4 linked regions of the Arabidopsis thaliana genome follow. The protein of the gene in region 1 interacts with the protein of each later gene in a pairwise test. Each region holds a gene or a part of one and is shown on either strand. Other genes may lie near its edges. The genes, in order: PPD1, NF-YC2, SAP and TFL2.

What was found.
Region 2: the proteins of PPD1 (region 1) and NF-YC2 interact in binary tests that used the Arabidopsis thaliana proteins (3 or more experiments, as listed by UniProt).
Region 3: the proteins of PPD1 (region 1) and SAP come close enough for resonance energy transfer, tested with the Arabidopsis thaliana proteins (one study listed by BioGRID).
Region 4: the proteins of PPD1 (region 1) and TFL2 interact in binary tests that used the Arabidopsis thaliana proteins (3 or more experiments, as listed by UniProt).

Annotation. Positions count from the first base shown.
Region 1 is NC_003075.7:8,425,130-8,433,099, forward strand, and holds PPD1 (TIFY domain/Divergent CCT motif family protein), read right to left. Parts: upstream 4,592-7,970; 5' UTR 4,397-4,591; coding exon 4,279-4,396; intron 4,136-4,278; coding exon 3,996-4,135; intron 3,897-3,995; coding exon 3,721-3,896; intron 3,256-3,720; coding exon 3,165-3,255; intron 3,077-3,164; coding exon 2,980-3,076; coding exon of another isoform or gene 2,933-2,979; exon of another isoform or gene 2,614-2,932; coding exon 2,554-2,613; coding exon of another isoform or gene 2,471-2,553; exon of another isoform or gene 2,363-2,470; coding exon 2,299-2,362; coding exon of another isoform or gene 2,259-2,298; exon of another isoform or gene 2,234-2,258; coding exon 2,046-2,233; intron 1,963-2,045; coding exon 1,955-1,962; 3' UTR 1,548-1,954; downstream 1-1,547. Other genes in the region: ATARD2 (RmlC-like cupins superfamily protein), read right to left, coding at 1-15, 99-223, 301-415, 602-696, 772-883, 1,022-1,045; ARD1 (acireductone dioxygenase 1), read right to left, coding at 5,355-5,397, 5,511-5,581, 5,661-5,785, 5,869-5,983, 6,117-6,211, 6,292-6,403, 6,721-6,738; AT4G14720 (TIFY domain/Divergent CCT motif family protein), read right to left, coding at 7,354-7,588, 7,662-7,725, 7,922-7,970. UniProt on the Arabidopsis thaliana protein: Regulates the arrest of dispersed meristematic cells during lamina development.
Region 2 is NC_003070.9:21,021,138-21,027,558, reverse strand, and holds NF-YC2 (nuclear factor Y, subunit C2), read right to left. Parts: upstream 3,078-6,421; 5' UTR 2,763-3,077; exon of another isoform or gene 2,455-2,762; 5' UTR 2,442-2,454; coding exon 1,842-2,441; 3' UTR 1,657-1,841; downstream 1-1,656. Other genes in the region: AT1G56180 (ATP-dependent zinc metalloprotease), read left to right, coding at 79-138, 226-474, 558-634, 752-828, 910-1,042, 1,161-1,316; MYB72 (myb domain protein 72), read right to left, coding at 4,115-4,736, 4,822-4,951, 5,037-5,175. UniProt on the Arabidopsis thaliana protein: Stimulates the transcription of various genes by recognizing and binding to a CCAAT motif in promoters.
Region 3 is NC_003076.8:13,934,270-13,944,163, reverse strand, and holds SAP (Transducin/WD40 repeat-like superfamily protein), read left to right. Parts: upstream 1-3,296; 5' UTR 3,297-3,377; coding exon 3,378-3,584; intron 3,585-6,573; coding exon 6,574-7,707; 3' UTR 7,708-8,078; downstream 8,079-9,894. Other genes in the region: AT5G35760 (Beta-galactosidase related protein), read right to left, coding at 9,382-9,521, 9,663-9,894. UniProt on the Arabidopsis thaliana protein: Transcriptional regulator involved in the specification of floral identity. Acts as A class cadastral protein by repressing the C class floral homeotic gene AGAMOUS in the external flower organs in association with APETALA2 and other repressors.
Region 4 is NC_003076.8:5,825,901-5,833,172, forward strand, and holds TFL2 (uncharacterized protein), read right to left. Parts: upstream 3,861-7,272; 5' UTR 3,638-3,860; coding exon 3,278-3,637; intron 2,965-3,277; coding exon 2,939-2,964; intron 2,859-2,938; coding exon 2,751-2,858; intron 2,639-2,750; coding exon 1,883-2,638; intron 1,801-1,882; coding exon 1,740-1,800; coding exon of another isoform or gene 1,722-1,739; exon of another isoform or gene 1,652-1,721; coding exon 1,604-1,651; 3' UTR 1,271-1,603; downstream 1-1,270. Other genes in the region: AT5G17680 (disease resistance protein (TIR-NBS-LRR class)), read left to right, coding at 1-1,253; AT5G17700 (MATE efflux family protein), read right to left, coding at 5,125-5,220, 5,301-5,387, 5,485-5,603, 5,708-5,946, 6,060-6,116, 6,191-6,277, 6,414-6,955, 7,249-7,272.

The sequences.
Region 1 (7,970 bases):
GAAAAGCCGCATTGCCTGCTCAACAAGATATTTCAATTTTCTAATCAACCAAATATATATATGATGAATTAACCACTCTGAAGAAGCTAACATTGCACCTTGATATAGTTGTCTGAGTCTACGGTGAAGCGATGATATATTCCAGCAGGTAAGACTATCATACCTCCCTTCTTTACCCATACTCTAATCCAAGCTTCATTGCGATCCCTCACATCAAAGTAACCTTTTCCCAAGAAAATGAAACGTTGAGAATATAGATACCGACTTAAATCAAGTAAAGCAGCCAATAAAAGTACTTACCGCTTCCTGCAACGCAGTAACGGATCTCTTCATCAGTGTGCAAATGTTCTTCGAAAAAGCTCTTCACTTTCACTTCATAGTTTGGAAGCTTTTCCGGGCATACCTCACAAAAGTCCTGCATTTTGAACACTTTTCCATCATCAAACCAAGACTCAAGCACATAAAACAATTTGCAAATCATCAACGAATTTTCCTAAATACATTCAGTAGAGTAAGTGTTACAATTGAGTAAAACCCTAGAGAGTTAAAACAAGACTTGTTCAAAAGTAAACATCTAGCATTCAAGTCTATATAAACAAACCATGTAAGAGTAACCACGAGATTCGCGGATCTTTTTCAAATCCTCATCGGTTTCATAGTTATCAGCATCAAGTCTCCAGCTAAGTACTCCCAGCTCTGCACACAAACATTACATCTGAAACAAATAGAGAAACAGAGAGAAGAACACTGAATTGAAACACACAAAGAGACCTGCAAGTTTGTCCAAAGATAGAAACTCCTTAGGATCCTTGTGGTGAGGAAGTCTCTGATCCTCTTCGCTATCATCCATATACCATGCCTGGATCACTTCTTCTCTTCCATCCTAAGCAAAAACACACATACACAAACACAACAAGAAAACATAAATTTATGATGCTAAGCTTGAAAGAGAAACAAAAAACGTTCAGCAATTAGTGAAATTTTCGATTGCAACCTCCAAGACAAAGCCTGAATTTCATACACAACAAGTGAAACTAGAAAACATCAAATTTGATGATTAAAATAAAACAAAAATCAAAATTGGAATAGTGATCAGTGATTGAAGACCACTTAATTAACAATCGGCGGCGATTCATGTTTTCATAGCTGAAACAAGAAATTTTCCGATGAGCTTTCACGAAATCAGAATCAGAAGCAAGAGATTTACGATTACCTTAACCACTTCACCCATGGTTGTTTGTTCCTCTTCTTCTTCGTCTTCTTCGTTAGGCTTTTTATGATTCCTCTTCGTCTTCAAATCCACGCGATATATGCCTTCTCTCCTTTTCAAAAGAAGTCATTTTCGTTTTATCTTTTGGGACAAAAACAGAGAAAAAGGTTAAAAGACTAAACTACCCTCCATCCGCCGGCGTGCGGCGAGGGAAATGCCGCCTCCACATATATCCGTTTCAGACTATTTATCACATTTTTGAGGTTTGAGAAAATGTAAATACGTTAGTTAGAGTGGTAATTATTGTAAAAAAGTTAACAAAGTTAAAAGTTAAAAACTGGGTTAAAAATGGACAAAAGAAGAGAAGTTTGGTGGTGTCAAAGTAAGACTCGAGTCGAGAGTAAGAAACACTTTGGCTAAAAGGTCTCTCTCGTTAAAAGTGTCAAGTAAGACATCATTTACACATTACAACACCTAGAAAATGAAAGCCCTTCTTTCACCTCTCTTGTCTCTACTCTCTGTGACTATATCCTCACAAAAAGAATCAGAAACAAGAAATTACCACTAACCTACTAAGCTCTACTCAAAACTATAGACCAAAAATTATGGGTGCAAAACCCCGGAAACACAAAAGAAGGCCGATCCGAAGAGAGGTTTCTTTTCTTCATATCTTTGAGCTTACAAGCAAGCAACTGTTTCAACGCCTATTCACAGCTTATAGCATCTCCACGTTTCGGTATCTTGTTAAATGCCTGGAGACCAAGCGAGGAGAGTTATGAGGGAAATCATCCAAACCACTGATTTAACAAAGCTTTATATATGATTCTCTTCTTACCTTCACTGTTTAGATCAACTGAAAGATTGGGACTTTTTGTCTGGCTTTCAGGTGACTGGCTATGCAGTGGAGATCCGGTGCAGCCTAGGTTTTGCGAATATGCAGCTTTCATCCGTGGCTGACAATTCAGAAACATCTCCAAGCTAGAGGACGCAACTCCTGGACACTTTTTGGCCTTTGAGAATTTTCTGCACATTACGAAAACATATCAGTTTATAGCGATTTTGGAATAAGCGTAAGTATATAAATGCACCTGTCTTTCCGCTTTTCACGATATCTTTGCAAAGATACCTTTCTGTTCGCCTGGCCCTCCATACCTTAAGAACGACCCAAAAAACATAGAACGACGGTTAGATTAATAAACTTCACAGGTCATATAACATGCAGAACAACAAGCAAGCCAAGTTTCCTCCAAGTTAACAACATTAGCATAGCTTTGCACAGGTGAAGATGTGTTGATCAAGTTTCGCTCCGAGAATCATTAAGGTAATATGAATACTGTTCATACCAGAATCACGAGAAGAATTCGCCTTCTCAAGGCCTTTTTGGGGAAGTTCCATCATCTTCTCTGCAATAAGATTTCACATTTTCAATTTGATTTTTGACTAATTCAAACTAGACTCTGAAGAAGGAAAGTGGAATCACTATCACAAAAACATGCAAGAGGCATTTGGATATTTTACGCAAGGTAGTATAGCACAATGCAACATTTAGACATACTTCCTTGGTCAACTACCCATGCCTCCTTTCAAAGTTGGACAAAACAAAAGCAGTGTTTGCAAGAAGAGAAAATAAATAAAAAAGCTCTACTGCGTCAGAAAAGCTGGTCCATGAACTTTTTCCAGTTTGATGATACACAAAACAAAATCATTTCATGTTTGAATCATCTATCTATCAACTGAAAAACAGATCAGACACTTTAGCAAAAGCTTACCTTTACTTATGAGCTTTGAAATCATTCTACTGGAAGCAAAAATACCGTTTTCAGGCAAATCAATTGGATTGGCTGCAAAGTGCATGATTGACCGGGCCTGCAAACCAATACAAAGGATGAATGATCAAAAACATGCCAACAAAATTTCTATTTTCAGACTGGACAGAATAATGTTATTGATTTACCTTTTCAGGTGGTATTCCATCATACACATTCACTTTTCCACTATAGAATATCGTCATTTGCCCAACGAGCTCACTTGTTTCAGCTGGGCTTCTGATGCAAGATTACAGACAAGAATGTTTAATATGCTTGTAGAACAACAGGCACATGCAGCAAAACCTTTTCTTAAGCTTTCGTAGATGGACTAGGGAAAAAACCCTCTAACTTACAAAATATCATTAAGGAATTCAAGTAACTAATTATTATTTCAAGTCACATCAGTCATATTGACTATTATTTTCCATTTCTAAAGAGATCCAGGATACTAAGACATAACGAAGATGATCTTCGATCACACGATCGTGGCCAACCTAAATACTATCTGACAAATCCACCATCAATGCCTTGAACCATATATAGATTCTGTCTCTAAGGATGTGATATTGAACCAAAAACTTCCTAATATCACAAACTTAATAATGCAATGCATTACACTTTTCTTGAATTAAACAACATTCCAGTTCCAGATGCATAGAAGCAGAAAGGTATCAAAAAAAATTCAAATACGAAAATGTAAACCTGGGAGAAATAGTCGTCTTGTGGCCATCTTTCTCGGATACAAAGTGACCAGACCCACCGGAAAACTCAGCTGATCTTGGAGAATCCATTCTATGGCACGCGCCGTTATCTTCCGGATAAGAAACCCGGCCACAAGCTTCCAGCTCGTTGCTTGGCTCAATCAACGTTGTTGTGACCTGTAGATATCAGAACAAACAAGGCAACTTAGATTTTCACTTTTTTCAATCTGTGAGTTTAAACGAGAAATAGAAGCAAAATCGAAGTAAATATCTCACGCGAGGCGGATTTACTGGCTGAGAAACGAGGATCTTGCGGAAGATACCGGCGCCGGAATCGTCTCCAGGCTCATAGAGAGCTTTAAGAGATAAAACTTGCTGGATCGCCTGAGATTTGTTCCACGACGGTCTTCGCATTCCTATTTCGACATGTGTCAGCCTCCATTCTCAGAATAAACAAGCAAAAAAAAGCTCCGACAGAGTAGAGAATTTCAAAATTTGACTTCCGCTGCAAATCGGAGAAGGAAACAAGACTATGGAGAAAGGTAGAAGAAGAAGAAACCTTTGTCTTTGAGGAATTTGCGGCAGTCTTCGCGAGTGAGCTGAGAAATGTCCTCTTCAGTGAGTAGCTTCAGAGGTTTCGCAAGTATAGACTTCGCCGGTGAAACTCCGACATCCATCTCCTCCTCTTCACCGGAATCCCGGCGAGAGAGCAGTGGCGTTTCAGTAATAATCGGAGGTTTTGGGGGTAAAATTAGGAAGAATGAGAGAGAGCGGAACAGTGGCGAGAGAGAGTGAGGTCGAATAGTTTTTCCTATGGGGGAGTCAATTTGGGGGAATTGTTCCCGGAGCAGGGAAACTCCCTAGACTGCCACGTAAGCTCCACGTCTACATAAATTATTATAAGCCTAATCATGGCTGCTAAACTTGCTAAGTTTACTTTTATATCCCCTTTTTCTTCCATTCAACTACTGTTTATTGTAATCCATTAAGATAGGAGAATAAAATGATTACTCCAATTCTATAGACTATAGAGTTAATGTAGGTCGGATTTAAGGAGATTCCAAACTCTAAAAGGAAATTACAAAAGAAAGCCACAAATGTAAACGAAAACGAAAATCTTATGTCCAACCACAAATACACAAAACCACACTTTTCTTCCTTAGAACCGTGAACATGTTCGATAACAACAACCACCAAACGAACCATCCTTAAAACCGTCAGCATGTTAAGATACACAACAACAACCAAACGAACCATGGTTTAGATTAAACCAAAGAAGTTGACGCGGTTGGACGTATTACTTCTTATTAGTTTCTTCTAATTTGTTGGTTTTTGAAAAGCAAATAAAAAAGAATAGAGATTTGTGTAAAAACTCAACATATTGCACATAGGAACGAACGTAAGACAATATGAATCCCAATGTAATCTTTTCGTATATGGGATACGACAAAGATGGTAAAGAGAGACATATCAGAGAGTGTAACTAAGTTTACAACAACTCAAGCATACCAAAAGCCATCATTCTACACAGGAATACATATAAATATCCAATACTTGACAGGAAAGCTTTCTTTATTGTAGGCCTTGTTTATAGATCCTTGTTTCAGAAAGCCAGATATAGAGAGAGGAAGCTCTCTAAGCCGAGGCATTGATCATGAAGTTATCGACATATTCTTTCCTGTAAAATATCAGAATTTATTTCTCGTAAAATAACAGAATTTCTTGCTTGATTATATATCCCATTGTTTGCATAAGAGAACAAACAAAAGGGGAAAACCCAGGACATTGTACCTTGCAGGAAGATGGTCGTGTGGGCGATTGTATGGTGTCCATACCGGTTCACCCACGAATAGCCGCATTGCCTGTTCAACAAGATATTTCAATTTTCTAAGCAAGCCCAAACTATAAAATAAATGGCTAGAAGAAAAGCTGACATTGCACCTTGATATAGTTGTCAGAGTCCACAGTGAAGCGATGATAGATCCCAGCAGGTAAGACTATCATACCTCCCTTCTTTACCAATACCCTAATCCAAGCTTCATTACGATCTCTCACATCAAAGTAACCTTTTTCCCAAGAAAATAAAACATGACTACTATATCGAAATTTTAAGTTTACGAGTAAAGCCGCCAGTAAAAGAAGTTCTTACCAGTTCCTGCAACGCAGTAACGGATCTCCTCATCAGTGTGTAAATGTTCTTCGAAAAAGCTCTTCACTTTCACTTCATAGTTTGGAAGCTTTTCCGGGCATACCTCACAAAAGTCCTGCATTTTGAACACTTTTTAATCATCAAACCAAGATTGAGAAAACCCCTAGAGAGTTAAAATAAGACTTGGACAAAAATAAACATCTACCATTCAAGTCTAGTGGGATAGTAAATAAATAAAGACCACAAACCATGTAAGAGTAACCACGAGATTCACGGATCTTTTTCAAATCCTCATCGGTTTCATAGTTATCAGCATCAAGTCTCCAGCTAAGTACTCCCAGCTCTGCACACAAACATTACATGTGAAACAAAATAGAGAAGCAGAGAGAACAACATTGAATTGAAACACACAAAGAGGGGGACCTGCAAGTTTGTCCAACGATACAAACTCTTTAGGATCCTTGTGGTGAGGAAGTCTCTGATCCTCTTCACTATCATCCATATACCAAGCTTGAATCACTTCTTCTCTCCCATCCTAAGCAAAAGCACATCAAGATGGGATTAGATTCCTTGGGAGGCAATGTTCAGATATTTTATATTTAATCTGATTTTAGCTTCAAAACTTCAGACAATTCGAGAAATCGTCAATTGCATAACTAAATTGAATACGAATAGGCATTAAACTGACTGCGAGATTTGAGCAAAAGAAGTAGTTATGATGATTCGAAAATCGTCGAAAATGAATCAAATCACTCAGATAACAATCGACGATTCATGCTTGCATCGCAAAACTAGGAATTATCGATTGGCATTAACAGATCAGAAGCAGAGGAGACAAAGATAAAAACATACCTTGACCGCTTCACCCATCGTGTTCCTCGTGATGTCTTAGTCCTTCTTCGTCTTCAAAACCACCCGATTACTCGATTCTTCTTTTTAAAACAGGGAAAAGATCAAATAAATAAAAATCTTTGGTTAAAAAGACTAAACTACCCTTATTTCTCAACTTTATAGAAGAATGTTGCAAATCTCAGACATATCACATACATCATGCCATGAAAATAGACAAATTAATTATCTCATACATATCAATCACAAAGAAGTTGTGTTACTTGGACCTCAAAGATTGGTATCATCAATAAGGTCTCTCTCATTATAAGACAAGCATTTACATAATACAAACCGCCACATCCTCTCTCTCTCTCTCGCGTCTCTCTAACCTACTCAAAACTACAGACCAAAAAAGATGGACGCAACCCGTAAAAAAAACAAAACCATACAAGACCCGCACTGATCCAGCTCAAATCTTTAACCCATGTTTCTTCCACAATGAACGAGAACATTCATTGTTTGCTTTCTTTCTTTTTGTACATGGCTAACATGTTATAAGAACATGAAATTGTTCTTCCCGCCTTTTGACCCGTAGTACCATCTCCAGTTCTTTTGGCACCTTGTTAATTATCTATAAAAAAGCGAATGAGAGTTTTAAGGGAGATCATTGGAACCATTTGACAAATGCTTGTTCATACCTTCGCTGTTTAGATCACTGTTTAGATCAACTGAGATATTGGGACTTTTTGTTTGATTTTCAGGTGACTCGCAATGCCCTGTGCCACTAAGGTTTTGTGAATATGCAGCGTTCATCCGTGGCTGACGATTCAGAAACATCTCCAAGCTAGAGGACGCAACTCCTGGAGCCTTCTTGGTCTTAGAAAATCTTCTGCTCAGAAAGAAAGGTATCAGTATTCATCGATTTGGAATAAGCAAGCACACAGCATAATAGCAACAACTACCTGTCTTTCCGCTTTTCAAGATATCTTTGCAACGATACTTTTCTGTTCGCCTGACCCTCAACATCTTCAGAAAAGACCAACAAAAAGAACAATAGTTAAATTAACAGAATTTCATGGTCGTATATCATGCAGAACAAGCAAGTAGTTTAGCGTAGCATGTAGAGGTGAAGAGGTGGACCAAATTTCGCTCTCAGGTGTTTTAAAGCATCATTGAATAATAGGATTTCATATCTTTAAGGTAAAATGAGTACTGTTTGTACCAGAATCACGAGAAGCAGGTGCCTTTTCAAGTCCATATTGGGGAAGCTC
Region 2 (6,421 bases), on another chromosome or scaffold:
AGCTATGTGTGCGAGCATTTGAACTGATTAATTTGTATCGTTTCATAAGTTTCTTGCTTCTGTATCACTGTGATGCAGTTTTGGAAGGAACAAGAGAGGTAACACCTACTGTCCTGAAGTCTGCAACTGGCTTGGAAGGTGTGTAGCTCAAATTTCTCTCTTCAGTCATCTTTGATTACTCAGTGTGTGGCGATGGAAACTTATTTTACTGTTTATATTGGTTAGTGACTAAACTTTCACCGAAGAAGTGGGGACTTTCTGGTGGTTCTAGCATTGCTCTGGCTGCTTTGCTGGGTGGAGTCTCCTATCTTCTTTCACAGGAGATTGATGTGCGGCCAAACCTTGCTGTCATTTTGGGTCTAGCTTATTTGGATTCCGTTTTTCTTGGTGGTACCTGCTTAGCCCAAGTATCATGCTACTGGCCTCCACATAAGCGTAGAATCGTAGTTCACGAAGCTGGTCATCTTCTTGTTGGTAAGACATTCGTGATCATTAGTATTTTTATGAAATTTCTTTCTCGTTTTGTGGCTAACGATTGCAGCTTATTTGTCGTGCAGCATACCTCATGGGCTGCCCAATCCGTGGTGTGATATTGGATCCGGTTGTTGCCATGCAAATGGGGGTTCAAGGCCAGGTATTATTTAGATTCACTCTAGTGTTATACTATTCTATTTTGTAGTGCTGTGATTCTATGTTCTTTTAGCTACATATGGAACCGAGTACATAAATGGATTATCATGTGTTTCTCTAGGCTGGAACCCAATTCTGGGATCAAAAGATGGAGAGTGAGATTGCTGAGGGACGACTTAGCGGTAGCTCATTTGATAGGTGATTATTAGTCAAGGTGTTGTTCTCTCCCTCTGAGTTTTCTCTCATTCACAAACCTAATGCTGGTTCAGTTTCTCTTAGGTATAGCATGGTACTATTTGCTGGTATTGCAGCTGAAGCGCTAGTTTATGGTGAGGCTGAGGGTGGAGAGAATGATGAAAATCTGTTCAGGAGCATCTCAGTCCTTCTGGAACCACCGTTATCCGTAGCTCAGGTCAGGACTAATGAAATTCATATATATCTGATTTGACTAGTATAATATGTGCTTCCACTTTTCTTGCACAAGTGTACAGATTGTTAAGCATTGCGAATCTGTGCGTTTGATCATACAGATGTCGAATCAAGCCAGGTGGTCTGTTCTACAATCTTACAATCTACTCAAGTGGCACAAGGCAGCACATAGGGCCGCTGTTGAAGCTCTCCAAGTGGGAAGTCCTCTTAGCATTGTGATTAGAAGGATTGAGGAAGCCATGTCTTCAAGCAAATGATTGAAGCACCAGCATTTTCTGTAATTTATTACTAATACGGACAGCCCATAAAAAAAAAACTCATTTGGAATGCATGGAGACCGAAGCAGATAAGCTCTCGGTATCTCGGTATATAAACCACCTGACTGCAACTGGAATGGCGAGAAGGGACTTGTATCTTTGGATCCATGTTCAAGTAAGTTAAGGTTTTATCCACTAAGGGAGATGTGGAGGATGACAAGGTTTAAACTTTAAAGGAATAGGAGCCAAGCTTTTAATAGCATAAAGAAAATGGTTGTAAAGTAGCAATCACATGAAAGCTGTATAGTTGAATTCCTGTGAAGTAAAGTTTTGGGCATTACTAGTAGTGATTTTCTTTCTATCATTCTTGTTATTATTTAATGCACATGAGAACAGAAACTGCATTGCCATAGATATAGACTGGGGATATACTAACATGTCATTACAGAACACAATAGAAATGGTTCCCAGCAGAGCAGAGCTACCTTACTACGATACAACCAAACAAACGAAAGGGGAAAAGTTTTAAGACTCATCAGGGTGTTGCTCCTGGGGCCAGTGTTGCATCATCCCCTGTTGTTGCAAGTAATAGTATGGCGGGGAACCCACCACCGATGGTATGGTCCCTTTGGTCACGCCTAAACCTTCTTCTTTCAGCTCGTCCCTCGGGATTATGTCCACAAGGAAATCAAACACGTCGGTCCTGGAAATGGCAGCGGCGATGTCGTTCTTCTGCAAGGTCCTCCTCTTGTTCTCCTCGGTGTGGATCCAAGCACGTAGAGTGAGCTCCAAAATGAACATCTCACAGGCCTTGGCAAAAATCACAGGAGCCTCCGCAGAGATCATCCTCACATCTTCATCAGCTTTCATGATCTTCTTGATGCGGGCTAGGGGAAGGGTGTGGTTCTTGAAATCAGTGGTATGCTCGATCTCTTGCATTTGGTTAGCCCAGAACATCTGAAGCTGCTGCTGTTGTTGCTGCTGATGGTGGTGGTGGAAGTGGTGAGCTTGTTGGAATGCCATATGGGAAGCTGCATTTACTGGCCCACTCTGATAAGCATGAGGAGGTACATAATCCATCACTCCCTGTTGCTGTTGCTGTTGACCCTCTTCTGACTGCTCCATTGCTAAGCTATCTCTGTTAATATAAAATTGTAGATTGACAGTTAATCCAAAGTTAAGGGATTTAGAACCAAAGTCTAAAAAAAATCAGAAAAAAAGAAGCGCATGCATGCTCGAATTAAGCTCAGATATGCTGGTTTCAAATCCGGATTTGGGAGTCACGACCCAAGCAGAGCACGATTCACAACATGGACCAAAGATGATAACTTTTGATCCTTTACTACGGTTTTGTCAAAGCTAAAGGATCAAAGAAGTGAAGAAAACGAAATTGGAGAGAGAAGTTTCCAATAGAAACAGAAAATGGAAGAAGAAACACAGACATACCAGTGAGAGTGAGATCTCGCGAAACCCTAAGATAAATGGGTTTGGGGCGGGTTAGCTTTTTATCAAGCGTTTCTGGTGGTGCGTATCTTCCGCCTAGTTGACACGTGTCGAAAAAGCGGGAGTTTTTACGTTACTTCCACCTGTATGCTTTTCATTGGTTATGTTGTGTTATTCCAGAAATTTCTTTATCGGACGGTTTCGAAGAATAACGAAGAACACGTGAAGTGCGCGTGAACAAAAGTCACGTGACATTTGCAACGTCGCGCAAACTTATTTTCGAAGAAGCCCATTGGACCTTGTGGGCTGTAAATCACCCGGGCCGGATCAAAACTTGACCCTAATTGTCAACAGAGTAAAGGGAAACGGGAAGCAGAGGAAAGGAAACCATCGAAAGAAGTTGCAGAGGCAAAGGATCCATCTTTGCTATCGCCACTCTTCTTTGGGGTTCGAAAGAGCCAGACTTTGTTTAATTATGCCGATAATTATGTGCAGAGTCGTCGCTAGTTTTGTTCTGTAAGGAGCAGAACAGTCTCCTCCATCCCTCTATGTGAAGTCCACAATTGCTCCACTTTTCAGAAGCCAAGGTATCTTCTTACTGCTAATGTATTTACCATACGTGTTTAACTTACACAAGCTCTCTTCTTTGTGTTTTAATCTGTAAGAGATTGGTGTAGTTGTCGGATTTCTGTTAATCATTGCGTGCTCGGAGCTGTGAAATTTGTAGTTTTTGTGATTCTAGTGTGATATGTGATGATCCCAAACAGGTCATGTGCTTTAATAAACGGTTGGAGCAAGAATCAAAAGTTTGTGTATTCTTTGTAGTATTTGTTCTGTTTTTTTCTTTTCTTTTCTTCTTCTGTTTGGTCTCACTGAGACCGTCTCAGTCTCTCAAATATGTATGGACTTAGGATAATTCAGAAGCTTTTGACATTGAAGCCCTTACAGGAAGCAAATATCAAGTGATTGAAATGATGAGTACAGTTGGAGTCATATTTCTTGTTGTTTGTATCTAGGCTAAGAAACTTACACACACCTAATTCGATTTCAGGACTTGATGCTTGGTGTGGCGCCTGATCTCGACACACCGGAAGCAGTCGATGCTGCCATTGCCAGCCATCAACCTGCGACCTGTTTTGGCCTCTGAAAACGGAGACTCTGAGAGCAGCCATAAGAGTGATCGAGAAGGAAAAGAGAAGAGTTGTTTGTGTGAATCTAGCCGAAAAACGAACCAATATCATAGAGCTCTCATAAAACATAGCATCTTCTCAATGCATGGGCAATCCATGTAAAATAGTAATTTACTCAACATTCAAAAGTGGATACAACACTGGTCATGCATATATTATTGACATTCATAGACATACTTCTCCGACGAAATTAAAATCATCAAAGTAAGTTTGGTTGTCAATGAAGTTGAACCACTCGTCGTACTCATTGTTAGGTGTGGTTGATTCAACCAGCTGTCTCCTCAAGTCGGATTCTTCGTTTGTGTCTTCAAATCCGCATGGGATATCCGGTTGAGGATGATCAAATGATTGCGATTTGGTTACCTCTCGAGTCATTTCTTGGGTTGAAATGTGAGTTTGGTGGTTATGAAGAAGAGAGTCTAGCGGAAATAAGATATCGTTATCCTGAAGAAACTCAGAGGTTATATCATCAAAGTCATCATGGTCGAGCAGGAACTGGATCTCGTTGAGTCCATTAACCTCATGAAGCTCTGGTTTTGTGTGCATACACTCGCCTTGGTGATGTGACGAAGTAGCTGAGTTTTGGCTCTCATTTAACCCTGAATGTATTTCTTCTTGAGCCCCGTCACAGTTCTTGTCATGATCTGCTTTTGTGCTTTGGTCATGAGTGCTAGAGAGGGATGAAGAAGAAGAAGATGGAGTGAGTCGTTTCTTGAGATGCGTGTTCCACACGTTTTTGATCTCGTTGTCAGTTCTTCCCGGCAAGAAGGACGCGATCTTTGACCACCTGATGATCACATATATCAATTAGTCTCTACATACTATATATTGTCTTATTATAAAGAAATTAGATGAATAGGTAGAGTACAAACTTGTTTCCAAGGGTTTGATGGTAGTGAATGATAGCATCTTCCTCCTTTTTGCTAAAGTTGCCTCGCTTCACGTCCGGTCTCAGATAGTTTATCCATCTTAGTCGGCAACTTTTCCCACATCTCAACAATCCTATGTATATATATCAATCATTATTTCTCTTAGTTATTTAAAACTTTATAGTATTACCGAAACATGCATGTGAATAAATACTAACCAGCAAGCTTGGGAAGAGATCTCCAGTTTTGATGGCCATGTTTTTGAATAAAAGTGATGAGAGTGAGATCTTCTTGAGGGCTCCATGGCCCTCTCTTCACTTTGTTCTTGTCGCAGCATGGTGCTCTTCCTTTCCCCATTCTTATTACACTACTTTCTTCTCTATAGCTACCTTCACTATATCTTTCTCTATATATGCAATGTTATGTTTTTGATTATTATCAGGAGCTCCTATATATATATCATTGATATAACCCGGCTCTTTACGTCAGAAGATGTTTTATAATTATTAGTTAGAGATTAGATTTTCCACTCCATTCAATAAAACTCTTATTTATTTGAGGCACTTCACTCGTAGAGAGAGACCCAAAAGCATGGAACGTACGGAAGTTAACGGCAGATTTTAACTAGTAATCTCTTAAATTTCTTTTGTTACTCATATGCCCGTGTACAGATCATAGTGTCCATTAAGTATAATTGTGTAAACAAGTTATGCATGATTCATTGACGAGTTACGAAAAATATGTATATTAATTTGAGCATCACGGAAATATTTAAATAGTTTGATACATTTCTTGATTATTCAGTTTTAAATATTTTATACAAAAAGATTTTCGACTTTAGATTTTGATATGAGCGAGTAGAAATCTAGTATATTGTAAACTTTAGAGCGGTTGTTTGTGTGCGTGTGTGTTAAAGACCACAAGGGCCATGCCACAAACAAAAGTAACACCAATTGGAGAAATAAATAGAATAAATCTGTAGACTGTAATCCTAATTAATTCAGATCAGTTTATTTTTTATTAATCCTGACACTTATTATTTGACATTTAGTTCAGAAGGAGAATTCAATAATCCTTTTCTTTAGCCTATTAACTTATTTACTCGTCTTCGTATTTCTTATAAAACTCAACCCACATCATCATCATCATCATCTAAGTTTACTCTTATTTACTCCTTTTATTTACTTCTTAATCACTTTGTATCTAATGTTTAAGGTTTTTACGCATAAATTAAGAAAACACAAGACATTCATTTAATTTATCTCTTTTACATAAAAACATCATTAAGTTCAGTTTTCAGACAATAACAAAAACATGATGTAAAACATAATTAGCCAAAAAAATTAAGATATTAACAAATTGAAAACATCACTTATAATGAATCAAGAACAAAATACCCTTAAAACATCACTTAAATTGATGTGGAGGGAATATTATTTACTTTTTTTTGCTATGAAGTTTTAATACAAAGAATAATGAAAGTTCACATTTCTATTAGTAATTAGAGAATACTGGTATATATAGACATTGCGTTTTAAACTGAACATAAATGACTTATCTTTAAAACACCACTTCATAAAATTTCAAAATATTTATATCTAAC
Region 3 (9,894 bases), on another chromosome or scaffold:
ATGATGCGGGATCCGACACCAACATTAACTATGATTTAAATATAGGTTTTAGAGTCCTTTTAGAGTCTTTTAAGGTATTCTTTGGATTGGGACAAGAATGGAGTTAAGGAGACAATTTGGAGCAAATGCTAAAGAAACTAAGCCAAATGACGAATTTAGTTTCAGATCAAGTCGAGAGTGTCGATCGACACACTCTTGGTGTCGATCGACACCAGTTGCGCCCTAATAATGTAACCTACACGTTTTTAGGTTATATATATATATATATATATATATATATATAGTTTTAAGGTCATTGTTGTGACCTAACAAGTTTTTAGCCACCTAACTTGTTCTAAAGCATTTTATAAGCTATTTATACATTGGATTCATTTTTCTGAGTTTTATCAGAGATTTCAATAATACCGAAGAGATATTTTCTAACTCTTTCTTCTTATTGATTTTGTTTATGCTTTCTCATTCATAAATGTTGTTTGTTTCATCCATCATGTATGAGTAGTCTACTTGTTAGGGTTAGGGTTTCTCATTAGGGATTTAGATGATTTAGTAGATTGTTCACCTGCTAGGATATATGTAGGATTTTTCATCTTTGGTTATTCTTAATGCTAGTTCTAGAGTAACTAATTAGAACTTAATCTTAAATAATAGGTATGCCCAAAAAGGTATATGTTACCAGAAATACTATTTGATGAGCCAAGTTTATAGATGTGAAATAAGAATCGGCCTATCTATTTAGGTGAACTTATCAAACTCGTTTATCATGCATGTCTTAATATAGGGATTTGCCAAGCGACCGCTGGGAATCTTTAGCCCTAGGCATATTGAGTAGCACGGCGAACCACCGCTTATTCTGTAATTAGGGTTTGAGTTTAAGAACGATTCGATAACATCCTAGCTATTTCTATATCTCTTATCATCTATTTCCTGAGAATACCCTAAACCTAACGTTTTTATTATCTTGTCTTACAACTTCACAATCCACTATCTACTTACTTGCTTTCTTTTTATTTTCTTATCATCTATCTAGCTTGATTTTGATACTTTAGCCTATTGTGTGAACAAAAGAGTTTTGTGGAATTTTACCCTTAAGTACTAACGACGATCTCTTATTTGAGGGAGTAAACTTAGAGCAATTTGACCTACATCAAATTCCATTGTTGTACGTGTACGGTTTCCACCCCATCTAAGCAACGATATTTCATCCTTATTGACTACGTTCCTATATCGCTCTCCAAAGCATTTGACTGAATCATATGCCCAAGCCTGTAACATGAAAACCATACCACTGATGGTGTACGACTTTCCAATAGGCCTCAACATCTTTATAGCATTAACCAACGAGACACCAAATCTCCTTCAAAAGTATTATTAACTGTCTACTTAATAGAAAATGTACAGTCTTACGAGACCACACGAATTGACTATTCGATAACTTAGTAATTATTCCAATAGGTGCCTCCTTCATTTGATCCCACACATCTTATCATACTAATTCTCTAAATCCCATAGAAATATGTCATCTTGATATTGTGATTAATGAGTTTATTCTCTAGATTAGACTCTCCTTCTGCGTAAATTCTTAGAGGGTAATCCTTTGCTTGTTCTTCAGAAATAACCTTAGCCATCTAATAAACCATAAATCAGCCATAACCATACATTAACTCAGCCACAACATAAAACAAATTTAGCCACAGATGCATTGATAAATCATAACTCAGTCAAACATACAATAACTCATCCACAACATAAAACAAACCTAGCCACATATGCATTGATAAATCATAAATCAGTCATAAAACATACAGTAACCAAGCCACAACACAAAACAAACTCAACCACATATGCATTAATAAATCATAAATCAGTCCTAAAGCATACAATAACTCAGCCATCAAATCGAATAGAAATAACAAATCAGCCACCATATGTAAATCGACGGCAAAAATCAGCCGTAATAAGCGTCGATAAAAACCATCAATATCATAACAGTGGTTTTAGAAAATGGTTTTAATCATGGGAATCACTTGCTATTGAACTTAGATGTCTGATTATTGTCGGAAAAATCGAAATAAAGATTTGACACATATCGAAACAAGTTGAGTTGAGACGAAATGTGACTCGATGACAACGACGTTAAAAGTTTCGGGCGGAAGAGACGAGAGAAAGAGAGAATAGCCACGAGAAATAGGTTTTCTTCGTTTTCGGATAAACACCTAGTAAAAGAGAAGACATTTTTTTTTCCCAAGATGAACAATGTCTGGGAGGAAAACCAAAATGTTCCTCTTAGTGACGTTAATAATGTGGCTTTATTTTTTTTTCTCTCTTAATAACGTGATTCATCATTATTTCGTTAATTATTTTTAATTAAAAAAGAATAAAAATGTTTTAACTAAAAAATACTAATCAAAAATGTTAATTGTAATTATATAAAAGCACTATATATATGAATAATTTTCAGAAAATGTAAATATTTCTATATTTAGATTGAGGAATAAACTTAAAAGCATCGCATGCTCATGTGTTGGTTTGTGATGAGTTTGGACTAAAGTTCACGATGAACCGTGGTTTTGAGGATCGTGATAGCTGCAATATGAGAAAAAGTAGGGTTAAGTTTTGTGATGACAGAATATGGCGAATTCTAGGTTTGAGGATTGTAATGATAAGAATATGCTTAACCAGATTTCCAAAAATTATTTACTTATAATGACAATAGTATGTTGGGAAAAAAAAATATGTTAAACTATGCTTTAAAAGTTTTTACTACTGGTATGAAAGTCGAGATTTGGTGCTACGAGTTTGATCTCTCTGACAAATTTTTTGCGTATACATATTATTTTATTTCTCATTTTTAAAATGGATCGATCTACAAATATTTGTGTTTAGCCAATAGTTTACCATATACAAAAAATTTACTAATGTTCGCGGAAGGAAATAAACTTAGCAAATATATTGTTGAATTCTTAATGATATATAACACTATTTTAAATATAAAAAATCGTCAAAATATAAATCTAGTGATTTATAATAATATAGCTGTTATATTGCCATTATAATTCAAAATCTGCATATCAAAAGAAAGAAATTTTGAAATATGTCACCATACTGAACCAATACTTTTCCTAAAAAATATAAAATTGAAGCTATTTCACAAACAAATCTGCATCTATTAAGAATAAACAAAAACAAATAATAACAAATCTTGACAAAAGAAAATAAAAATAGGAAAAAAACATACCTTCACAACCTGGGTCCCCCACCTCGGAGAAGTATGTCTTTATCTACACTTTTTGTCCTTTGTTTCCTCTCTCCCCCACCATTCTTTCTCCTCTCTCCGCTTCTTCTTCTTCCCCTGTTCCTCTTATAACCCCTCTCGTCTCATGTCTACCTCCTCCTCTTCTTCCGACAACGGAGCCGGTGGAAGCGGCGGCGTTTTCGAGGCCCCATCTCCATCCCGCCCTCGCCGCGGAGCCAACGATGTTTGGCCGGAGCCTTTTCTTGAATCTCTCGCCGTTCAAGTTGCCGTTAACGCTTCCACATCCGCCGGCCTCCTCGCCGCAGCTCCGGCTCTTGCCAACGTTTTTCGGGTCAGTTCTAACGTTCTTTGAATACCTTCTTTTAGTTTTGTAACGGTCGAGACACATCAATTATCTCGTGTCTCTCTATATATATATGTACTTCAGGTAGTAAAGTAATATTTTCGTTACACTATCTGAATTCGTTTATTAGCTTATATTTGAACTTGAAAATAGTGAGACATAGATCTTATGCAGACAAAACAAAGTCAAAGTAGTCGTGGGTCTATAATAACTTAAGTGGAGGGACACAATCTTGGTCTAGTCAAATGTACTGCTTGTTTCAAGTGTCTTGTACTTTAGTTGTTTCTAAGCTTAGATTTGATTCTGCCGTTCTAATTCTTTTTGGTATAACGAATTCTTACTCTTTAGATCATAATTAAGTGATGATGTTACTTCAATTCGATTGAATGTGATATTAGTTTGTAAGGTTGGGATTCTGAAGAGACAAAAAAAAAAAAAAACTGACCTTTGGAAAGGTAACCGCCCTTTCTGTGTTTCTATGATGGGTCCAAGTCCAACTTTTATGTCTAACAAGACGACATTAATTTGATGTCTCTTTCACATATCATATAGTTTGGGGACTTTGTTTTTCTTTTATGTATTTAGAAACTTTTTGTCTTCCATTTTTACCCAATAAGTTTATTTCTTTTTCATTGTTCTCTCGTCTACTTTTGATACCTTTTAATGTCTATTTTTGGATCCTCTAAGGAGACCATACAACCCCATCTCGTTTGTGTAATCTTTGTACAACATTTGGGCATAGTAACTCTAATATTAATATTATATTATGAATTGGATCCCTTAGGGCACAAAATCAAGGTTTTATTTTATTTTATTGGCTTTAAATCTTCCTTTCTTGGCATGTAGAAAGCCCTTTTTTAAGATCAAGAAATCCACTTTTTGACTCAAAAGTTCTTACAATAATAATCAAATTAAACACTTTCTTGTCTCCAAATATTGGTTGATAGACATTAGGCACAGTCTTTAGTCCAATGCCCAATAGATTTAATATTTTTTAGAATTATAATTATAACGGTATTTATCTGCTAATTGTTTTAAAATTATAATAATAGAAAGTGACCTCTCACGACAGACTCATAAAACTAGAAAATGTCGTTGCACATTTAACAACATCTAAAAAGAGAATGAAAAGAAACCTAAGTAAGGTCCTGTCTTTTTGCCTTGCCAATGTTAGTCCTATATTACCACATTAGGTTATTTTCTACATACATGAAAACTCTATTCATCAACAGATATATGATCCATGTATTATATCAGGCATTCATATTATTCTTTTTAATAATCCTATGTTATATATGAAAATAGCTGTTTTTTCTTTTGTTCATAAAAAAACAAATAATACATATATATATTATGCTGAAGATTTTTCTCATATATAGTAACGAGGAATAGTATATAAGTACATATGTACATTTTTTGCGTCCTGCTTTTGTTATTTTTTTCTCTGCCAATATTATGATCCACTGAGTAATGCATGCAGAGCTTCTGACAACTTCTCATTCTCTTATTTTATCTCACTTCTCTATGTATACATGATAATTCTAAATCATTATTAAATCCCATAATATTTTCTAATTAATTGAATTTTCAAATTTGCCCTAAAATTTTAAGAAACTGCAGTGTAGTTACAGCATAACACTTTTGTCAGAGAATTAAGGCTATAAGTCTAGAGTTTTCATTGTTGTTTTTTACTTTGAAATTGATCATGGAATTATCTTTTTTCCTGACTCGATTCATCTTTTCCATTGAAGTGGGTTTTTATCTTTTTTTTTTCTTTCCTTAATTTTTTTCAGTCAAAAGAGACGACATTATGGGCATACATATGCCGAAAAGCACATGGAACCCAATGTTAAGGGTCTCTTAGAGCACGTGCAGTGGTGTCTATAGATTATATACTATGTTCTTACATTTGATATATCACACATTAAAATACAAAAGTGATATTCTGAATCTGGTCATCTTAGAACTCAGGAATATTTGAACTACTTTCTTTCCCTTCTTATTTGAAGTATATCATATTGATGTGATTGGTAATTTGCATAATAATAAATAGGATTTGCCATTCCATCATATGTTATTTGTTGTACTAATCTATTTTATGTTACATTTCGTGCCCTAGTGCCTAGATTATTCTTTTTTTATAATGATTATCTGACTAATAGACATTAAACCTTTGGTTTGACAAGATATCTTTTCTTTTCGTATAGAATTCGAAATATTTGATTTTAGGTTGTACTATAGAGCTAGAGTACGAAGTCAAATACATTACTTTGCGTTTAATGAGGAATAAAGATGTACAATAAATAACAATATAAACGTAAATGTAGAGAATGTAGGTCCACGGATTGTTGGAGAGGGATGAGAGAGACAGAGAAACATCTACTATATATAAGTGTAATATTTGTGTATTTATGGGAAGCTCTACTTTTAACAAGACCAAAGGCTTAAAAGCTATCCTTTCTTGGAAATGAAAGAGAGAAGGGCACGCTTGTTGGCAAAGTCGGAATCTCATGTTCAGCTTAACTCATTTAAAGTCTTCTCATCTGTCCTAATAAATTAACATATCATCTGTTTTGTATTATTGTCACATTGATTTGTTTTTTGTTCTTTTGACATGGGACTAGGGCTTCCTCTCATTATTCCTTTTACACTAGGGCTTCTGTTGTTATATCTCTATCTATAGCTTCCAGAGATTGATTAGTCCCGTCAATTGAACATATGTCATAAAATAGATTTTTATAAAAATGAGTTGTGTGTTTCGATGAGTAAGACAAATATTACGCAGAGCTTGTGTCTGAGTCTGTCGTTGTCTTTCCATCTTCCTAGTCCCTATATATAGAGTCTTTCATGCTTCGTTGCAGGCCTACTTATCTTCTTTCTATGTCTTTTTTTACTCTCTCCCTTATTTATACATTTATTAATTAAGCTACTAATTATAATATTTGTTAAAACTTATAATAATTTTTCTTAATCGCAGGTTTGCACCACGTGGCACGCTGTCTCTCGCTCCGACCATCTATGGCAACTACTATCTCGCCAAGTTTGGGCAAGAACACATTTGATGCACGACACGTGGCGGGACGAGTTCATCTACCGTCATCGGACGGCTAGAAACTTCCGGACGCGTACTCACACCTACTTCACTCTCCAATTTGACCCGTCTGATGTGGACGAGCCTGATAGTCTCTCTTGCCGTTGTCTCACCCTCTCAGACCTCTACTTAGCCGCAGGGTTCGCCGACGGAACCGTCCGGCTTTTTCTTTTAAACAACCGACTCCACGTCAGGACCTTACGGCCACCTCTACGTGACCGCTTTGGTAGATTCTCACGAGCCGTCTCAGGCATTGTTATCTCCGACTCAAGGCTCACGTTCGCTACGATGGACGGAGACATCCACGTGGCGGAAATAGACGGTGTTGGTCACACACGCACGGCTTACGCAGGAGATATAGTTAACGACGGTGCGTTGGTAGATTTCACTGGCTGTGGACGTTGGTGGGTCGGTCTTTTCGCGGGTGTGCCAGGTCGTGCCTTTCACATATGGGACTGTAACAGCGAAGAGACAACATTCGTCGGTGGTACACTCACCGACCCTGAAGCTGTCATGGGATGGCACACGTTAACAGAGCTAACAACGTCCCTTGGCCGTCTCAGAATCTCCGGTAACGAGACGGCGGTAGCATGCACGAGATGGAGAATCATGGTGATCGATCTAAGAAACCAAGGAGTGATCATCGGAGAAGACGAAGAGCAACGTAGAGGACTAATAGTGACAGGCTTCGATGCCAACGACGAAGCGTACGTTAGATTGGACAGTAGAGGAAACGCTAGCGTGCGAAGGGTGAACACGCAACAAACGGTGTGTGAGTTCCGTGTTAGTGGAGCGGCGCAGAGAAGAGTAATGGGTTGTGTTAATAGACTGCACGCGCTAATGTGCGCAGGTGGTATAATGCGCGTGTGGGAGGTAGAGAGAGGAGAGTATCTGTACAGTATTAGGGAGAGAGTAGGAGAAGTTGACGCCATTGTTGCCGATGATAGACATGTGGCGGTTGCGTCAGCTTCATCAACGGCTCAGAGTATTATACATCTATGGGATTTCGGTGCACTGTAGCGTACCAGATTAATAATTTTTTTTTTTTAACTTGAAGAAAAAGAAACTATTTTTCTCTGAAAAAGCGAAACCCTAAACCTAGGTGTATATGTAGGGTTTCTGATTATAAATTAAATTGGGAAAGTGACGGAGGGAAGATGGTGACAGGAGGGTGAGATTTACAAGGGAGATTGATTCTTTCTACAGAGTTTGACCAAAAAAGTAAGTTACTGTTTTTGTCTAAAACCAAACAAAGTGGACTTTTTCTTGTTGTTCTTGTTTTTTTCCTTGTGTTTAGGGCTCTCTCAATTCTGACTTTGTACGAGATGTCTTTTTTTTTTCTTCTACTTGTAATTCTTCACTTTACTGGAGTTTATTATTTTGTATAATGGGTTTTAAATACATTTTGTGTAAAAAATATATTTTACAGGAGGTGTAGACAGAAACAAGATCAAAATCGAAAGAATGGTATAGAAATATGAATCATGAGATCTAGATGTGATTTGAGCATATCCCAATTTTAGGATATATTGGAGTGAATTGATAAGTAAAATGTTCAACAAGTTATTCATAAACAATAACATAAGAAAAGAGCATAATTGGACACACCCAATATACAAACAAAACGGCTAATCTCATTGAACAAACAAGATGATAAAGAGTGAAAATCAAAATTTTCCAAGTTTGAAATAGCGTTAGAAGCAAGTTCGAGAAGACCAAACACACGCCAATTCAAGAAAAAGTTGCACTCTACATAAAATTTGAGATGGTAACCATATATTGTGACTTTAAATCATAGTTCAAAACTTGGATTCTCACAAGAATGAGTCACGTTGTACCTACCGGTCCCTAAAAAACCATCACATAAGAACACAAACAGTTAGGATCTAAAACATGTTATTTAGAAACGAATTCGTAAGGACAGTTCTCAAAGAGAGGGAAATATCAATTTGATATTTATGTATATGAAATTACAAGATGTTTGATATAATGCCACGTTTATTTTGTCTTTTAAACAGATTCATGTGTTTGAATTTTCACATCTATTATCTTAATTAAGTCCACAAGGCTTTGTATTGGAATTTGCAGGGACAAATCAACTTATGCAAATAATATGACTCTTGAGAGACCATTGATGCATGTTTCATTATTAGCGAATGTGCCAGTCTTTTAAGTTTCAGGTATGCGGATTTGATTGTATGATTTCTAGTGTTTTTCATGTTTTTTTTTTGTTATATATAATGTCTAATGGGCTATTTCTAGATAGAGCATATACAAAATCGCAAAAACCCAATCCACAAACTTCAATACAATAAACAAAGCAGCTCAAAACTAAAGCCATCTCAAATTTACAAACCGAATTTAACTAACCAAGATTGAAAACCCTAATCTCAATCAAAAAACATGATCGAGCCGCCGTCCAAAACTGCAGATTCTCGCTGAAATAGGACAGCCAAACGAGATGGTGATCCAAAATTTGTTGCCATGCCGCCACTGTAGAGTTGTTTTGAGAAGGAGGAAGAGAGCCGATCTCGTTTTTGTTGAAGAGATCCTTGCTCAGTCATGAAAGAGAGAAAATAGTAGGGAATAGAAAACAGAGACCTTCGACGTTGGCTTCGCTTTGCCGGATCAAATATACCTCCCCCATCGACAAAGATCTCGTGGAACCGCCACAATTTTCGGTCTCAGATCTATCTACTTGTCTCTCTCGTTCTTCGCCGTAGATCTCCCTTTTCTACTCTGCATCGCTACACCGCATGTGGAGCTCTTACCGTTGGTATCAGGCGGAAGCTTCTCCCCTCCACATCTCCTTGATTTTAGTCGGATTGCTTTGCCTGAAAAATGCAGCATGTTACAGATGACGAACTATGAGCTTTTGGGTCCTCATCTTATTTTTTTTTTTTCTCAAACAATAATTTTCATTCACTTAAGCCTAAAAAAAGGGAAGTTCATACAAATTAGAACTAAGATAGTACAAGAAAATGAAGATAGAGGCTTCATGAGTTTTGCAAAGAGGTGTTCACTTTTAAAAAAGTTTACAAGGTTTGAAAAATCTGTTGAGGCTTTGGCGGATTCGACCATGAAGACGGGCTTCGCGAAATCCTCGACCAACGTGTGGTCATAAACGGCTATTGCAAACAATGCATATGAGCCTTTGAAAAGGTGCTCCACGGGAGAAAATAAAGGGTAGATCATAACGCCGCTCTT
Region 4 (7,272 bases), on another chromosome or scaffold:
CAATGAGCTGCTTGAGGTGGTTTGATTTAGATAGGACTAGCATTAAAGAACTACCTGAAAACATTGGGAATTTAGTAGCTCTTGAGGTGCTTCAAGCCAGTAGAACAGTGATAAGGCGAGCACCATGGTCTATTGCACGACTTACCCGTCTTCAAGTTTTAGCGATTGGGAATAGTTTCTTTACTCCAGAAGGTTTGTTGCATTCTCTTTGTCCTCCCTTATCAAGGTTTGATGACTTGAGAGCTCTGAGCCTAAGCAACATGAACATGACAGAGATTCCTAACAGTATTGGTAACTTATGGAATCTACTAGAACTAGATTTGAGTGGGAACAATTTTGAATTCATCCCCGCAAGCATCAAACGGCTCACCAGGTTGAACAGACTGAATTTAAACAATTGCCAGAGACTTCAAGCATTGCCCGATGAGCTTCCACGAGGTCTCTTGTATATCTACATCCATAGCTGCACATCACTAGTGAGTATCTCAGGTTGCTTCAACCAATATTGTCTGCGAAAGCTTGTAGCTAGCAACTGTTACAAATTGGATCAAGCAGCGCAGATTCTCATTCACCGTAACTTGAAGCTAGAGTCAGCAAAACCAGAACACTCTTATTTTCCTGGAAGTGACATACCCACTTGCTTCAATCACCAAGTCATGGGTCCTTCGCTGAATATACAGTTACCTCAGAGTGAATCATCGTCTGACATTCTGGGATTTTCTGCCTGCATCATGATTGGAGTTGATGGACAGTACCCGATGAACAATCTGAAGATACACTGCTCTTGTATATTAAAAGATGCTGATGCTTGTGAGCTGGTTGTTATGGATGAGGTGTGGTATCCTGATCCAAAAGCTTTCACAAACATGTATTTTGGATCAGATCACCTTCTCTTATTCAGCAGAACCTGCACGTCCATGGAAGCTTACAGCGAAGCCCTGTTTGAATTCTCAGTCGAAAACACAGAAGGAGATTCCTTTAGCCCGCTTGGAGAGGTTAAAAAATGTGCGGTACACCTTATATCACTCAAAGACATGATGCAAGAGTTCTCTAATGACTCTGACAAAATTCAGAGTTCTGATTTGGATCTTCCAAAGGCATTTGATGACGCAAGAATTTTGAAAAGAAGAGCATATGAAACTGAGTTCTTGCATAAGGAACAACTAAATCCCAAGAGGATCAAGTTTCTTCCAGTTCCTTTGGCTCGAGAGCGTCATTCCAAATTACATCAGCGAAATGTCATACGAAAGTAAAAAAAATTACTTGGTTTGCTTGTAAACATAATTATTATATATTGATTGATCACATATATTTTGATAACATCAACATATCATGAACTTGATCTTTGAAGAAGCAAGTACAAGAAAACTTCCGCTATAAGAAGCAAAGGTCCAAGTAACAAGATTTACTATGATAGAGATAGAGAGTGAACACAACGAACCCGAGGAGATAAATTACAATCTGAAACCTCCCGGAGACGCGATACAAAATCCAATTGTCGCTACCTCGACTCTACATGTTGCACTGCTAGAATAAAGAAGCCATCTAATCTTTTCTACCTACAAGGGCTGTGTACAAACAAATTCTTACCATTCCGGATGATTTAAGGCGTTCGATTGTACTTGAGATGTTGCTCATAGAATTCAATCAGCTGGTGTGGGAAAAACAAATTAGAAAAGCTAATAAGAAACTTCCAAATGAGTAAGTGCAGAAAAAAAAAGCTATAAAGATAATCTTACGAGATGAGGATTGTGAGCCTTGAGAAATCTGTTGTCCACCAATGCTTCCTTCCCATCAGACCTATGAGAGTAACCAAATAAGTACAATTGTACAAATATGAAATCAAATTACGAGAAATGACCAAAGAGCTAAAGAGACAAACCTCAGCGCTAAAAAGGTCACCAACACTTCCTGGACATTGTCTGATACAGATGCTGTAAAACTCATTGGTTTAAGTATCTTCGTGATGTCCAACTCCTCAATCTTGGTTTTCTGAGACAAATTACAATTTTCCATCACACCAGGATATTCATTCCCCATCCTTGCAATCCTACCAAAAGAGTCTAATGTAGTCAAATCTGGTGTCAGATTCTGATCTGTAGGTGCTGTGTGGTTGTTACTTGTGGATCCATCTTGTTTGAATCTTTTCACAGAACCAGACTTCCTCCGCTTAGCACCTATGAAACGACTGTTCTTATCAAGCTCCTTAGGATAAACCTTGAGAAGGCCATTGGGTCTTACATTATCACCTTCAGAACCAATGCCTCCTCCTTGAGAACATCCTGCACCGTTACTATTGTTGACTGGTCCTCGTAGCTCGTTAAGTGTTGGATCATATTCTTTCTCATTGTCAATCAAACGAACTTGTCGGGCCATCCCAACACTCCCACTGTTGGCTTCAACTTGGTTGGATACATAAGCATTCTTCGCTTCCACATCTCTATTTAATAGACTCGAACCGCTTAGGTCTAGTGGATCAGGAATGTCAGGAAGGCTAGAGTTGTTGAGAGACGTAGAAGAGTCAGATTTCTCAGTAGCATCATGTGATGTAGATGTTAAACGTTGCTTCTTCTTCATCTGAGAATGAGGACCTGCATATTTGCGCTTCCGTTTCCTACCAGGCTTTCCTGGCTTCAAACTTTGAAACATATGAAACAAGAAAGCAAATCCATACATTAAACCAAGAAAATCCATGAAACAATCAATTCAAAAGTATCACAAAACTTTTATATAAGATTCCATTTACTTACCTTCCCTCAAAGGCATCTATAACATCAGCAATAGACTGGAGATTCTCTAAAGGCTCCCATGTGTTGGCAGTTTCAGGCCATCCGCGCCTTTCACAACCGAGTTTATAACTTATGTCAATGGAAAAACATATGTTTAATCAAGAACAACAAACTTAAAAATGAAACCAAGTAAGATTAGAAAAACTCACCATTTAATTAGATACTGAACCTTGCCCTACAAATACAAAAAAAAAAACAGTACCAAAATGCAGAATCAGAATCATTCAATCAATCAAATCCAAGAAGATATCAAACATTAAAGATCATTTTCTTCCTACAACATATAACAACCACAGAATCAAAACTTTGGTTCGTTATAAACTACTCTGTTACGATGATTACTAACTACTAAAGCAGCCACTTTCTCACACCAATGTGTAACCTACGTTTGATACTTATCTTAAACCTAGAAAACCTAAAACCTCAACTAATTATGGTTAACAAAAACAAACCACATTTGCTGAGTGAAGACGAAAAAAGGAGCTTACTTTTCGAACTCTCTTACGACGAATAGCTTCAATTTCATAAAACCCTTCATCAAGCTTTGGCCTTTCCTCTTGCCCACCTTCTCCTTCTCCTTCTTCATCTTCCTCATCACCTCCATCATCTTCATCCTCGTCCTCTTCTTCTTCTTCATCTCCATCCTCCGTAGGCCTATCATCACCAATCTCGCGAAGAATCGACTCTCCACTTCCACCTCCACCTCCCCCTCCGCCGTCGTCACTGCCAAACCCACCGTCTCCACTAATTTTCCGGCTTTCTCCGACTGTTTCCACCGCCGTCTCCGCCTCACCAGCTTCGTTCAACACCTGGGGTTTCTTCTTAACAGCACCACTTGCCCCTTTCATTTCCTGAGTATTCGAGCCTCCCAAACCTGAAGGAGGAGGGTGAATCAAGGTAATCGCGTTCTCTTCTCTTCTTCTCCTTTTTAGAAATCAAGGATTTTGGAGGAAGAAGATGAAGAAAGATTGAAACTTTTTCTCTATTTCTGAGGTTTTTGTTTTTGCAGGAAGAAGACCTGACCTGACCTCAAAGACCAGTTTTTTCACTTTTTTGGATTCTCTTTTTTTTTTTTTTTTTTAATATCACAATAGGAAAAGTTGAATACAGCAAATTCTTAACGTTTATAATCTAATTAGAAGAGATTATTTCTAATTACTAATATGAAAATAATAAATACTACTGAAGAAAATATGTGAAGGTAAATTAAATCGAAAAATATATTAAACTGAAAACATTTTCTTTAAATTAGAAATAAAAGAACATCGTGCTCTTGCTCCTTTTACAAGGAAATCAACTAGGACATTATTACAACTTAAAAAAAAATCAAAGGAGATTGAAAAATCAGAAAATAAGTCTCATAAACTAAGATTCTCACTCCAAGTCTCCAAGTGCACTGCAAAGGCAGACAACTTAGTTGGATCTCCTAACATCATCATCAATAATTTTCAGCAATATCTCATCCAAACCAACAGAAAAGAAAGTCCTTCTCCAAGATAAACTTCATCGAGATTCAGATTCTTTCATTCCAAAGTATAGTTATCTTGATAGTAACTATGTGATTACTGCTCGAGTTTTAGCCTCAACTTTTGGTGGGCTAAAGTTCTATTTTCTTCAGTTTAGTGTGTTTGTTCTATACTTTGTCCAACCAAAACTTGTTTCTTTGTGATTAGTACTTGTACACTAAATGATGCATGTTTTGATCGCTTTGTTAAATTTGAATTGTTACTATAAAATTTGCAGTTCTTTTTTTGTTTAAACGTTAGAAAAATAATAATTACTATTATTATTTAAAATGGTGATATGAAAGAAGTAAAAAGGAAGAAAAAAAACATTCATTAGGATCGGTTCATAAATAGGGGGAAAAATGGAACGTTTTGACTTCAACATAAATAAATGAGTATTTTATTTGATGGTGAGCTTATGAAAGTTTGTAACGTTTCCTCGAAATATATATGAGAATATTTTTTTTGTAAAAATTCACGATTACAAGCACTCAAACAAATGGAATTTTTTTCCCCACACACAAAATATACATCCATTAAAAAATCAAGAAAGAAGTTAAAATTTCAAACCTCCCACAATTTTTTTTTTGTTTAGAAAGAGTATATCCGAAGAACAAGAGAACAACCTTTTTCTCTGATAAAAGAAAAAGTTCATCCTTCTTAACCTTTTTCAAAGTTATGAGAGTTGCATTAACCTAATAATGCAATCTCAACACCGATACTTCATTCTTAGGGAATGCAAAACACAACCACAATACAACATAAATTATTCTTTCTTTTTTTATAAAGAATTTCTTAAAAGATTTCTTTAAATTAACTTAGTTGTATGTTCACTTTCTCTCTTCATCTCTTGTGGAGATAGTAGTCGATTGTACAGCAGGTAAATTTAGAGTCCACGTTTTCATACGCTCGTTTGTCTTCTTAACCTGTAATTAGATAAAATTATACATTTAATATGACGAATTTTCTAATAAAAATTTTGAGTTATATATTAAAAGTAAATTACCTCCAATTCCCAGTCAGTTTTGTAAATAACATAACACAATATCAACGTTTGGATACCAACTCCAGCCAACATTCCGGACCAGAGTCCCTGCATACAATATCATTTATTCAAGTTAAAATTCTAAAAGTTCTAATGATTGATCATAATGAAGTACTGGATACCAGTTTTCATATATATGATGTACCTTAATCCCAAAATTGAAAACGTAAACAAGGAGGACACCTAAAGGAACACCAATTGCATAATAAGATGCTAAGTTCACTAATGCTACCATACTCTGCATCCCTGCTCCAATTGCTACCCCTGTTTATATATGTTCAAACAAATTTAGTGGTTACAAATTAGTGAAATCTAAAAGTTTATGTTATAATTTATTTATGTCTAATATAAGGGTTTTATTTTGTAACCAGATAGAATGGGCTGGATGATGTTGAAGAGTATAGATATGCTAAGGACGATGGAGAGATCAGCTACTGCATCCGAAACTGCTTGGCTATCAGAGAACAAATACGAAATCTGACCGCCAAACGCTAGGCAAAGAGCGGAACATATCACACCGATCACCGCTGATACCACAAGCACCACTTTTATCGAGAATCTCACCGCATCCGCATCGCCTTTTCCCAATTCATTCGCCACTCGTACACTACATTTTCGGATTCATAGATAGAGAAACATTCACTTTAGTATTAAACAAATAATATATGTATACATCAAAAACAAAATACTGTGAATGAGAGTACGTATATAGTTACAAACCATGCTGCACCCATCAAGCCAAAGCATATGTTCATCTCCCATGAGTAGATATATTGGCTGCAAATTTTGAATTAAGTATTTAGTTTTCATATGTATATGGAAAAAAAAACTTCTTCGGATTTAAGTAATACCATATGGAGAAAGCGGAAATTGCGATATTCGCATCCTTTGCATATCCAGACATCAAGACAATGATGCTCATATACCAGTACTCTAAGCTGTTTGAGGCAATAAATAAACAAGAGAAGCAAAAGAAGAGTCATTAGAAATTTGTATTAGCCTATTAGTAGTGGTCCACGCTTAATAATCATGTTTTAATCCCGCGAAAAAAATTAACAAATAAAAGCAAGTTACCAAAGCATGAAGCCGGAGGATATGGATAACTTGAGCATGGGAATAAGATCAAGAAAAGCAGCAGTGCTAAAGCCGGTCCAAGTATGCGGGCACCACCCTCCAAACACATATACAAACTCGGCTATGGCCACCGACCATGAGCTTATATTAAGCCCTAGAAGCGCACCATGGATCCCCATCCCCATCACGCTTACGCACCACCACGTGGCCGCAATGTCCAAGACCAAGGCTAGGGTCGAAAGAATGCCTATGATGGCGTTTTTCATCTGCGCTTGGAGGTACATTTGCATTGTCATGGTGAACACGATGCTGTAGAGATAAGGAATGACCCATGGGTAAATCTCGTCTACTGTCTCGGAGATCACAACGTTTTGGCCTAATAACCGGAGAATGGGACCCGCTAAGACGATGAAAGGGACGAAGAGAGTTGCAATAAAGGTATCTACTATCCAAGAACGTTGTAAGTATATCCCCATCATGTGGTATTGTTCTGCTCCGTATGCTTGTCCACATAACGTCTCTGTCGCACTTGACATACCTGCCTGTAATAATAATATTACCATGCAATTCATATTCTCTACCATATAATTGGTTATGAGTTGAAAATACAATAAACACTCATTCATTACATTATATCAGAAAGAAAAAAAAATCATTCATTACTTTTTCATATAGCTTTCTGCTTAAATGTTAAAAACAGTGTGAAACCACAACATTTTACTATTAGTACCAAAAAGTCTTTAGCGAGAACAAAATATCTATTTTTGTAATGAATTTTTTTTGGACGAAAATTATAGTACTATTGTTTTAACATATAATATATGATGGATCGTACCATAATACCGTAGATGAAGCGAAT